3 linked regions of the Macaca mulatta genome follow. The protein of the gene in region 1 interacts with the protein of each later gene in a pairwise test. Links are inferred from orthologs where the notes say so. Each region holds a gene or a part of one and is shown in the gene's direction. Other genes may lie near its edges.

Evidence for each region.
Region 2: the proteins of TMEM218 (region 1) and PCNA interact in binary tests that used the Homo sapiens proteins (3 or more experiments, as listed by UniProt). The link is inferred for Macaca mulatta from reciprocal best matches to the Homo sapiens genes TMEM218 and PCNA.
Region 3: the proteins of TMEM218 (region 1) and CREB3L1 interact in binary tests that used the Homo sapiens proteins (3 or more experiments, as listed by UniProt). The link is inferred for Macaca mulatta from reciprocal best matches to the Homo sapiens genes TMEM218 and CREB3L1.

The regions. Positions count from the first base shown.
Region 1 is NC_133419.1:125,513,789-125,517,537, reverse strand, and holds the start of TMEM218 (transmembrane protein 218), read left to right. Parts: upstream 1-1,412; 5' UTR 1,413-1,458; exon of another isoform or gene 1,459-1,506; intron 1,507-2,478; exon of another isoform or gene 2,479-2,537; intron 2,538-3,749. UniProt on the Homo sapiens protein: May be involved in ciliary biogenesis or function.
Region 2 is NC_133415.1:78,833,832-78,837,580, forward strand, and holds the start of PCNA (proliferating cell nuclear antigen), read left to right. Parts: upstream 1-995; 5' UTR 996-1,187; coding exon 1,188-1,408; intron 1,409-2,120; coding exon 2,121-2,218; intron 2,219-2,309; coding exon 2,310-2,377; intron 2,378-3,651; coding exon 3,652-3,749. UniProt on the Homo sapiens protein: Auxiliary protein of DNA polymerase delta and epsilon, is involved in the control of eukaryotic DNA replication by increasing the polymerase's processibility during elongation of the leading strand.
Region 3 is NC_133419.1:19,302,896-19,306,544, reverse strand, and holds part of CREB3L1 (cyclic AMP-responsive element-binding protein 3-like protein 1), read left to right. Parts: intron 1-1,383; coding exon 1,384-1,568; intron 1,569-3,543; coding exon 3,544-3,622; intron 3,623-3,649.

The DNA.
Region 1 (3,749 bases):
TATCTTGTTTTAAAGTGTTTCCTAGTTGTTTCATGTGTTGTTGACCTAACATTACAAAACCACAGGCTATTAAGACAGGAGTCACATCTCATTTCCGGTATATCTTCACAGTTCCTGACAGAACATAGCTGCAGTCAACACTCAATTCCAGTGAAATGAATTCATCAAAATAATGGATTTCTTAGCCACAGAGCTTCTCACTGGGCCAAGTAATGTTAAGTTGCTAAACACACAACAAATCATTGGTTATGTTATATGACTGCAAATGAAGCCTTGAAAGTAGAATAAATTTGAGAGGTGCAGTTGATGAAATTCAAGCATCTTCTTCTTTTTGGTTCATAAAGCTGTGATTCAGGAGAATTCCTTCAATCAGAGATGCAGTGCTCTAAGATTGAATAGTTTGCTTCATGGTATTTCTGAATTTTGTTTAGGGTCAAAGGTTCAAACGGTGCAACTCTCCAATTTGGTATTGATTTTTGTTTTCCCTTCTTGATTCAGTGGTGGAGCACGTAGCCTGTCTGTCCTACTTCCTTTGGTTGTCCTGATTGATGCATCTTTTGGTCTAACAGGCCATAGCCTCAAAGCAAAGTCATGGCAAGCTTTAGTTGGCAGTAAGGTAACAGCAGTCTGCCAATAGCGTGGGCCAACTCCAGTTCCAGCAGCCTGGCGGCAGAGGGTTTACTTGATGGACCCAGGGCCGCTTCCCCAGTCTGTCCCGTGGGTAGAATGATCCTTGCCTTAGTCTGCTTCGCAAGGCTAATGGAAGAATTAAATGCCAAATAAAATAAGGCGAGATAAAGATAAATGAAGCGTGCTGTTATTATAACTGGTACTTCGTCCTCAGTTCCCTCCAGGAGGGTTGTTGGAGCACCTAATGACCGGGCCTAAGCTGACTTGTCCCCCACATCTTGCGCCCCACTCGAGCCAGTGGGTTGGGGAGTGAGATGTTCATCAGACCCCAGAAAACGCACTTACGTCTAGACAACTGTGCAGCTCTCCGGAGTTTGAGATCTGAGCTTCCCAGCCCCGCCGCTTCGCAGCCTGGATGCGCAATCTCTATGGTGACAGCGAGTGGGCCGGAAGAAGCCTCTCTCTTCCGCCCAACAACCCGCCCTCGGGCTAGACTGACCAATGGCCCAACGAGTTACGGAGAGATTATGTGATTGACATGGGGGGGTGTGGCGTGCAGCTCGGACCGCTGCTACCCAACCGAACTGAGGTCGGGCCAAGGGCCGACAGGCACCGACCAATCGGAGGGCGTAACAAAGGGTGACGAGCCAACCCACCGCGCTCGGCGTTGCCGGGAGCCGCGCTAGGCGTAAGCTAATAAGGAAGAAGTTGGGCGTTGAGAGAGCGACGCTGATTAGTGAATGTTAAATCACCTGAATGAAAGCCCACTTGTGATTCGCCCTAAGTAAACTGGAGCCCGGTGGGCTGGAACCGGCCGGAATCTGAGGTGTGAGTACTGCCTGGGTGGACAGTGGGATCCAGGTGAGGCGGGCAGAGGTGAGGAAAGCAGGGCGGCTGCGGAGAAGGGAGAAAAGTGGCGGGTCGGGCTGAGGTGGTTGGAAGAAGGCGTGGGCGGACGGCGGTGCACGGACCTCGCAGACCGCCCTTACCGCTGATCTGGCCCCAAGGCCCGGCTAATAAATACTTAATGTGAGGCAGAGAAGGAAGGGCTGTTCTGTGTTTCATACTCTTAAGAAAAGGAAGTGTCAGTGCCTGATTCAGATCTCTTATGATCAAGACCTTAATCCCTCTCCAGCTACTGGGAGGTGGCCAGGTGAACATTCTGAAGACGAGACATAGGGGGTATCGTTTTCCTGTCGCCAGTTTGAATCTGCAACAGAGTTGGGGAGAAGCTTAGAGTTCCAGTAGAGTGTTCCCAGGCTGCAGTGCTGTGAGATGCAGAGAGCGGAGAGACCGAGGCTCTGCAGCCGTTCCAACCCACAACACCGTCCAGGAGAGAGATGCAAGGACGAGACCTAGGTTTACTGATCCTCCTTTTCTATCAACGTGTTAAGAGCAGATGCTACATCGGTGGCATTTTGGGAGCTTGGCAACTGATTTTTTTCCCAGGCTTGCATTTTATCTCATTACAAAGGTAGAGGCGTTATTCTAATATTTTAAAATTCAAAAGATAGTGAAGTATTTAAAGTAGATACATAAAAGTGTGAAAGTAACCGCCCAGTTATTTTTGAAGGGTTGGAAAACAGCTATAAAGCAAAGTGGAAAGAACTGTTCCAGAAGAGCACTTCACTCCTGTAACCCACTGTTTTCTGTTGCTTTCAAGGGCTTGAGTCAGTGTGAAAATCGGGGGATGGGTGAGATATCTCCCACCAGCAGCAGCACTTAGGCCACATTACCCTCTGAGGAATCCACATTTGTCTTAGGTAGTAAGTCATCTTATAGTGGCCGTTAGTATTCTCACTCATGATGATCAGCCTGGTGATGAGTACTGTGTTTTTAATCCATTAGGTTACCTGTGCAGGGATCAGTCAATTTATTCCTATTTTCTCTGACAGCTGGATGAAAGGGTATGTAGAAACAATCGTTAAATGAACACACACATCTAAAAGGTTTTGAACAAACTCTTTCCAGAGAAAAACCTCACAGCATTGAGCACAGAAGGAAAACATTGGCCTTGTAGTTGCTCTTGTCAGCTGCTGAACGGTTCAAATTTAAATTATTTTTTTCCACTCCAATCTACCTGCTTTAAATGCCACAGATATTAAGTAAATGGACTTACCCTTGAAATCAGGTTGGCCAAGCCATCACTTCTCAAAGAAGGTTTACTGATGGCGTGAACAGTAAATAAAAACACTTCCGTTTTAATATTTTATTGTATTGTACTCAATAACAATAATTTAGCCATTCTAATATGGGAAATTATCACAGATATTATCACATTGAAATAAGATGAAAATGACTAGATGTTCTCTCTTCCCCTATAGCAGCACTCTATACTATACCCAGCTCTTCTTTCTATGCTTTGTAAGAAAATGTATAGTTTGCTTATAAAATTGTGAGCTCCATTCTTAAAAGAGCTTGGGAATATTTATCTTATTTACTTTAAAGCCATACCATATGTAAACCAATGTCTCATGAACTCTTAAGCTACTAAGGGGGATTGAAGGGCAACATTTCTAATGGTGCCAGCCAGCTTCAACTACCATTTGCCCTCTATTCTAACTGTTAGAGTTGATCCAAGTCTTCTAGGTTATTTGTGTAATATCCAGAATAGCACAAATTAAATTTAAATAGTTGTTTTCTTAAGGGCAGTACCATCAGGTCAGACAACTAAGCTAGAAACTTGTGTCATTTCTAACACCTTCTCCCTTGACACAGCTAAGACTGGAGTTCAGACCCTCATCTCTTATCTGGAGAATTGCGTTTCTTAACTGATCACCCAATTCATATGCATTCTGCTGCCCATTACCTTTTTAAAAATTAAAAATTATCACAAAAAATTTAAAAACAGAAAATAGTACATTGGGTAGTATAATATCTATGTTTCACCAGATTAATAAATATTAACATTTTGGCACACCCGTTCAAGTTTTTTATTTTAAAGAAATAAAACATCACAGATTTAGTTCAGATCTCTTTTATTTCCACTCCCAACACCATTCCCTTTCCTTCCTCCCTCTCCAGAGGCAAACAGTCTTTTGAAATTGTCATACATCATTTATGCCCATGTTTTTATACTTTTGCCGTATATATGTATGTCAGAAACGATACATATTACT
Region 2 (3,749 bases), on another chromosome or scaffold:
CTCTACTAAAAAAAAAAAAAAAAAAAATTAGTCGGGCGCGGTGGTAGGCGCCTGTAATCCCAGCTACTCGGGAGGCTGAGGCAGGAGAATCATTTGAACCTGGGAGGCGGAGGTTGCAGTGAGCCGAGATCGCGCCACTGCACTCCAGCCTGAATGACAGAGCAGGACTCCATCTCAAAAAAAAAGAAAGAAAGAAAAGAAAAAAAATTAAATGTGTACGCTCTTTGACTCAGCTGTATTACTTCAAGGAGTTGATAGCACCAAAATTGCCTAAGTGCTCAAAGGTGTTTGTAATTAACAGGAGATTGATAAGTTACATACATGTGATGCTATCTTTTAAAGAGGTACTGATATAAAAAAGATGTACGTGGCATAAAATTAAATGTACTTTATTAAGTACTTTTTCGAAGTGTTTACGGAATGAGTGCATTTTGAAAAAAAAAAGTGTATTCGAACTTTCAAAAAAGCTTTAAAAGCTTTATACAAGGAACGATTGAGTGATTATAAGAGCTGGCAGTGGAATGTTAAGAGGTGAGAGGGAGCTAAGTTTAACATAACTCTTTATGGTGTGACACTTAGGAGCGCATCACTTTTGTAATTGAAAAATAAAGTGCATATTTGCAGCAGCTGTACTCTTCAGGCTACAAGGAGGCTTTTCCTCCCGGTAGGCTGGATTTGCTTTTCACTTTCACTTTCGTGGCTGGAAACTTTCTACCCACGGAGCTGGAGGCTGAGGAGGCACCATAAAGCTGGGGCTTGACGAACCGGGGCCTGGGCCGGATCCCCACATATGCCCGGACTTGTTCAGTGGTCAGGTTCAGGAGTCAGGCGAAGAGGCGGGGAGACCTGCGGGACGCTGCCCCGCCCTGCACCCGCTTCCTCCAATGTATGTCCTAGGGGGCGGGCCTCGCGGGGAGCATCGGCACGATTGGCCCTAAATTCTAACCCGCCCAGGCCGTGGGCCGGGCAGCGTGGTGACGTCGCAACGCGGCGCAGGGTAAGAGCGCGCGCTGGCGGACGCGGCGGCATTAAACGGTTGCAGGCGTAGCAGACTGGTAGTTCTGTTTCTAGGTCTCAGCTTCTCGTCACGACGTTCGCCCGCTCGCTCTGAGGCTCCTGAAGCGGAAACCGGCTAGACTTTCCTCCTTCCCGCCTGCCTGTAGCCGCGTTGCTGCCACTCCGCCACCATGTTCGAGGCGCGCCTGGTCCAGGGCTCCATCCTGAAGAAGGTGTTGGAGGCCCTCAAGGACCTCATCAACGAGGCCTGCTGGGATATTAGCTCCAGCGGCGTAAATCTGCAGAGCATGGACTCGTCCCACGTCTCCTTGGTGCAGCTCACCCTGCGGTCTGAGGGCTTCGACACCTACCGCTGCGACCGCAACCTGGCTATGGGCGTGAACCTCACCAGGTGAGCCTCGCGGCGTCGAGAAGCCGGCCCCGGCCCACCCCCACCTCCGGGGTTTGGCGGGATCGCTTCCGAGCCGAGCCCTCATTGGCTGGCGTGGACCATCCGCACCTTCTCATTGGCCTGCCATGCAGGGGGGTGGGGCCCAGCTGAGCGCGCGGTTCGGAAAAGCCCGCGCTGGCTGCTGCGCGAACCTGCTTTTTCGCGCCAAAGTCACAAAGCGGGTGGTGGCGGGAAAATGACTGGTTTTTCTGCAGTGCCAGGAACACTGCTCCAGAGCTTTTGCTCACTAAATCCTGTTGGCCTTGAATGGACGCTTTAGTTGTGGCTTTTTTGTTTCCGAGACGGTCTCGATGTGTTGGCCCGGGCTGGTCTCCAACTTCTGGGCTCAGGCGATCCTCCCGGCTCAGTCGCGATTGACTTTAAATGCTTTATAATGTGCCCTTGCGAGAAAAGTGTCAGCCTGTCATCCTACTTAGTGGCAGGAGATTGTTTCTATCCAGAAGGGAAACTGCTGGTGGTATTTTAGTATAAATACTGCCAGATGCATCCCAAAATGTCTGCATTAATATTCGCATCCTCCAGCAGTGCAATTACCCTCCACCAGTTCTGAGACGGCCTATGGGTGAGAGTGGTAACCCCTTCTAACTGCATTAGAAATACAGACCTTCAGTAGATGGTGTTGATTTTAAACCATGTGTCTCCTGTCTTCTAGTATGTCCAAAATACTAAAATGCGCCGGCAATGAAGATATCATTACACTAAGGGCTGAAGATAATGCGGATACCTTGGCGCTAGTATTTGAAGCACCCAGTAAGTCGTACCTTTTTACTGAGTTATGAAGCTACAGAAGATCAAAACTCTGTGCCAGTGTTTCTCAACAGCATTTGCTTTTTTTTGGTAGACCAGGAGAAAGTTTCAGACTATGAAATGAAGTTGATGGATTTGGATGTTGAACAACTTGGAATTCCAGTGAGTATCAGTTTCTGATTGTAGCGACTGCTGTACACAGGCATGATAGTTATATCATAGAATGTTGTTTATTTTTACAGACAGGGTCTTCCTCTTTTCCCCAGGCTGGAGTGCAGTGGTGCCATATAGCTCACTGTAACCTGGGACTCCTGGGCTCAAGCAATCCACTTAGTCTCCTAAGTGGCTAGGAAGGACTACAGATCTGTCCCACCACGCCTGGCTAATTTTTTTATTTTTGTGTGTGGGTGTGGGGGCAGTCTTGCCCAGGCTGGTCTGGAACTCCTGGCCTCAATGATCCTCCTCCGTCAAGATAAGTTAATATAATTTAAGCCTACTTCATAACAGAACTTTTTCTAGAAACATATCTACTGGTGCATGTTTTAAAGAGATTTTAGTATTTGGATAGTTGTTTACCACAAGTCTAAAACTCACTGGTTAAATTTATTGTTTACTGCCAGTTGTCTATTTGCATTAATTTCCATGAACCTCTTTTAAAATTTGCTTCCTTCTAGGATGGTTGGTTTTGTTTTGTTTTGTTTTGTTTTTGAGGCGGAGTCTCGCTCTGTCGCCCAGGCTGGAGTGCTGTGGCCGGATCTCAGCTCACTGCAAGCTCTGCCACCCAGATTTACGCCATTCTCCTGCCTCAGCTTCCCGAGTAGCTGGGACTACAGGCGCCCACCACCTCGCCCGGCTAGTTTTTTTTTTTTTTTTTTTTTTTTTTTTTTTGTATTTTTTAGTAGAGACGGGGTTTCACCAGGTTAGCCAGGATGGTCTCGATCTCCTGACCTTGTGATCCGCCTGTCTCGGCCTTCCAAAGTGCTGGGATTACAGGCTTGAGCCACCGCGCCCGGCCCGATGCTTGATTTTTGTTAAGTGGGTTTGAAAGCTATCTTAGAAGAAATGTATCCAGGTTAGGTTTATAAACACCAAAGGAGAGAAGAAATGTTGGAATGTTGAAAATGCCTAATATCATATTCTCTCGTTTTCTTTTAGAAAATAGTTAGACCTGCTTGCGCCGTCATCATTTCTGTGGCATACTCTAATGTTCTCTTACTTTATCCCTGGAGGATGAGGAGGAGGAGGCGCTTGTTCCCTGGGCAGTGCATTTAATAGCCATTTATTTTTTTTGAGTGGAGTTTGTTAAGAAATTACACGAGTCAGTAATCAGAAAATCTTGATTCTGAGTTGTTTAGATGTTGCCTTTTAAGAAAGTGAGGGTGCCAAATCATTAAATTTCTAACAAGTAACTTTTGGAAAATTTTTGTTCTTAATAGGAACAAGAGTACAGCTGTGTAGTAAAGATGCCTTCTGGTGAATTTGCACGTATATGCCGAGATCTCAGCCATATTGGAGATGCTGTTGTAATTTCCTG
Region 3 (3,649 bases), about 110 Mb from region 1:
AATGAGTGAGATCCTGTCTCAGTAAAAAAAAAAAACAAAAACAAAAACAAACAAACAAAAAAAACACCTAAAAAAAAATTATAAATTTGAGCACATGCAAAACTCTTCAGTGGCTCCCCATTTGCTTTAGGATAAAGTCACATATCTGAACTAACCCAGCCTCCAAGGCCAAGTCACCCCCAGTAGCCTCTCTGACTCCATCTTCCACTCCCCTTTGCATTCCAACTTTGCTAAACTGCTTGTGACTCTTCCTATATCCCCAGCACCTAGCACAGTTCTCAGCAAATGTTTACTAAATAACAATAGCTGTATTTTAACACTGGCTTGTGTTTATTGAACACTTATTCCTTTTTTTTCTTTTTTTTTTCCGAGACAGAGTCTCACTCTGTCTAGGCTGGAGTGCAGTAGCGCAATCTTGGCTCACTGCAACCTCCGCCTCCCAAGCAATTCTCTCTCTCTTTTTTTTTTTTTTTTTTTTTTTGAGACAGAGTCTCACTCTGTGCCCAGGCTGGAGTACAGTTGCACGATCTCAGCTCACTGCAACCTCTGCCTCCCGGGTTCAAGCGATTCTCCTGCCTCAGCCTCCCCAGTAGCTGGGACTACAGGCATGTGCCGCCACAACTGGCTAATGTTTGTATTTTTAGTAGAGACGGGCTTTCACCATGTTGTCCGGGCTAGTCTCGATCTCCTGGACTCAAGCGATCCGCCTGCCTTGGCCTCTCAAAGAACTGGAGTACAGGTGTGGGCCACTGCACCTGGCCACTCAAGTGATTCTCCCACCTCAGCCTCCTGAGTAGCTGGGATTATAGGCACACACCACCACACCCAGCTAATTTTGTGTGTGTTTATTTTTGGTAGAGATGGGATTTCGCCATGGTTCCCAGGCTGGTTACGAATTCCTGGGCTCAAGCGTTCTGCCTGTCTTGACTTTCCAAAGTGCTGGGATTACAGGAGTGAGCCACGGCACCCAGCCTGAACATTTGCTTCTCACCAGTGTTAAGTATTAACACTCACAGTGTTAAGTGTCTTATGTACATTATACTACTTAAGCCTCAGAATTCTCTATTAGGTTCTTTCCCCATTTTACAGATGAAGAAGCTCAGGCTCAGAGAGGTTAAGCAACTAGCCTAAGGTCACACAGCCAATCAAGAGGAGTGTGAATCTGGTGCCCAAGCTCATTCTGTAAGCTGCTGAATGAAGAGGATGTCCTCCCCTCTTCTGGCCCAAGACAATTCCCCCTCACCTCACAACCACCCTCTTTCCCGCCTGCCCCTGGTATATCCCAACAGCTCTCTTCAGTTCAGCCTAGAGCAGCTCCCAGAGGGCAGGCAGGGGACTGAGACCTCTGCCCTGGAGTCCCCTGAGCCTTTCCCCTTCCCCTAGACGTGGAGCATGGAGCGTGGGCGCTGGGACACAAACTGTGCTCCATCATGGTGAAGCAGGAGCAGAGCCCGGAGCTGCCTGTGGACCCCCTGGCTGCCCCCTCGGCCATGTCTGCCGCGGCCGCCATGGCCACCACCCCGCTGCTGGGCCTCAGCCCGTTGTCCAGGCTGCCCATCCCCCACCAGGTGAGCCTGGGGATGGTTTGTAAGGGCTGAGGGAGGGAGGAGGGCTGGTGGGTCTGCGGGAAGAGTTGCCCAAAGCCCTGTGCCCCAGGGCTCTGTGAACAGGAAGACAGGAGCCTCAGGGCTGAGGGTGGGAAGCCTCAGCCCAGCCCAGGCCTCCGCCTGCTCCACTGGCTGCCCCTTCACCATCCTGCAACGGGCACAAGCCACAGCCCCCTTGGAGTAACAAAGGCTCTCGCCTGTGCAGAAAAAGACAACTTGCAGGGCTGGCATCAGGAGCCCAGTCCAGGGTCTCAGAGGTAGAGACAGTCCAGGCAGATGACTTTTCTCAAAGCTTCCGGATTTTTAAAAAAGAAAGACCAAAATGGAAATTACAAAAAAAAAAAAAAAAAGTGTGCTATATTCCAATTGTTTACATTTATGAGATTAATATTTTTAACCCACACTCTCAGGCTGAGCTCCCACCTCCACAAATGTGTAGATGACAGCATTCAGCTATAAACCCAAGACCCCTCTGGGAATGTGAACCCCAGACCCCTGGCTCCTAGCCAAGGCCCTGCCTGAGTCCCAACTCGGAGCCTCCTCTGTGTTCTGGGCACGTTCCGTGTCCTCCTTCTCTGTAAAATGGGCTCATGAACCCCCTAAGGTGCCTCTAGCCCTAGGATTCCACAGGATGAGCAGCATCTTAAAATCCCTAGATGGGAACGTGGCTGGCCCTGCCCCCTGCTGGCCACACGGCTCACTTGCTCAAACTGTAGGTGGCCGAAGCAAGAAAGGTCAGCCCCTGTCTGCCCCACCACAGACCCATGGGATCAAGGGTTGGTGGCAAATATGCAGGATCTTTTGAAACCGTCTCCAAGACTGGTTCTGAGACTCCTCAGGCTTTGCCAAAGGAGTGACAGCAGCAGCAGCCAGAGGCGAGGAGGCTTCAGACAGGGAAACCGAGGCTCAAGGGGTTAAGCAATTTGCCCAAAATCATGCAGTTAGAAGCAACTGACCTGCCTTCCAAATTCGGCCTGCCAGACCCTGAAGCCCACACAGGGGAGGTCATAACCCCTAGTAGAAGGCACAGGAGCTGGCATTGTCAACAGTGAGTTCTCTGCACCACAGTCCCCTCTCACTCGAGGGATCAGCTGGGATGTGGACCAAGGAGTCTCCAAGGTCCCTGCCAACTTGAACTTTCTGGGATTCTTACTCATCAGCCTACATTCTGGATTCTGCGTCCCACCCACAATATCACGATCTTCTCTCTGGGGCTGCAGCCCAGGGCCTGAAATCCAGCCCCCAACACCATGCCTTCCTCAGAGAGAGCACCACTTACATGCATGTCGGTAGTCATGTGTACAAAGCCATGCATGTTCTTGAAGTCCTTTCTGGAACCACAAGTCAGAATAGAAATAAAGAGAAATGCATGTTTGTTAAAAATGTCCATCTGATTCTATCAGGCCCTTGCTTCAAATCCATTAGGAGCTCTCATTGCCTCCAACTTCTTTGTCTGGATTCTACTTCTATTTATACCCCGGGACTCATTTCAGACTTTGACTTCTCAGGGAGCGTCCTCGGAGCCCCCAGCCAATTAATGCCTCCTTCTTCTGTACTATTGCTACCAGCCATTGAACAGCTACACTATTCCAGACATTACCTCTTGTTCTTGTCCTCATGGCAACCCACATACCAAAGCCTGTGTGGCCTTCACAGTTGGTGTGGAAGGTGGCCCCACCCTCAGAGGCTCACCTTCTCTGAGCTTAAGGTCTGAGCTACATTACTTGGCCACCAGTCCTTTCTCTTAGGTGTAACTTGGCTTTCCTAGGCTCAAGAACTTGCCTCTGTTCCCTTGCAACTGTGCCCAGAACTCCAAGCCCAGCCACTTCCCCAACTGTGCAGGGCAGGCCACCAGACTTAAGGAGGAGGTGGGTAGATGGCATGCTGGGGACAGACCCAGGGGCAGCTAATGGAGCTGGGCTTGTCTGTTCCTCAGGCCCCAGGAGAGATGACTCAGCTGCCAGTGATCAAAGCAGAGCCTCCGGAGGTGAACCAGTTCCTCAAAGTGACACCGGGTAGGTGTCCAGGGGAAGGGCTCTTCC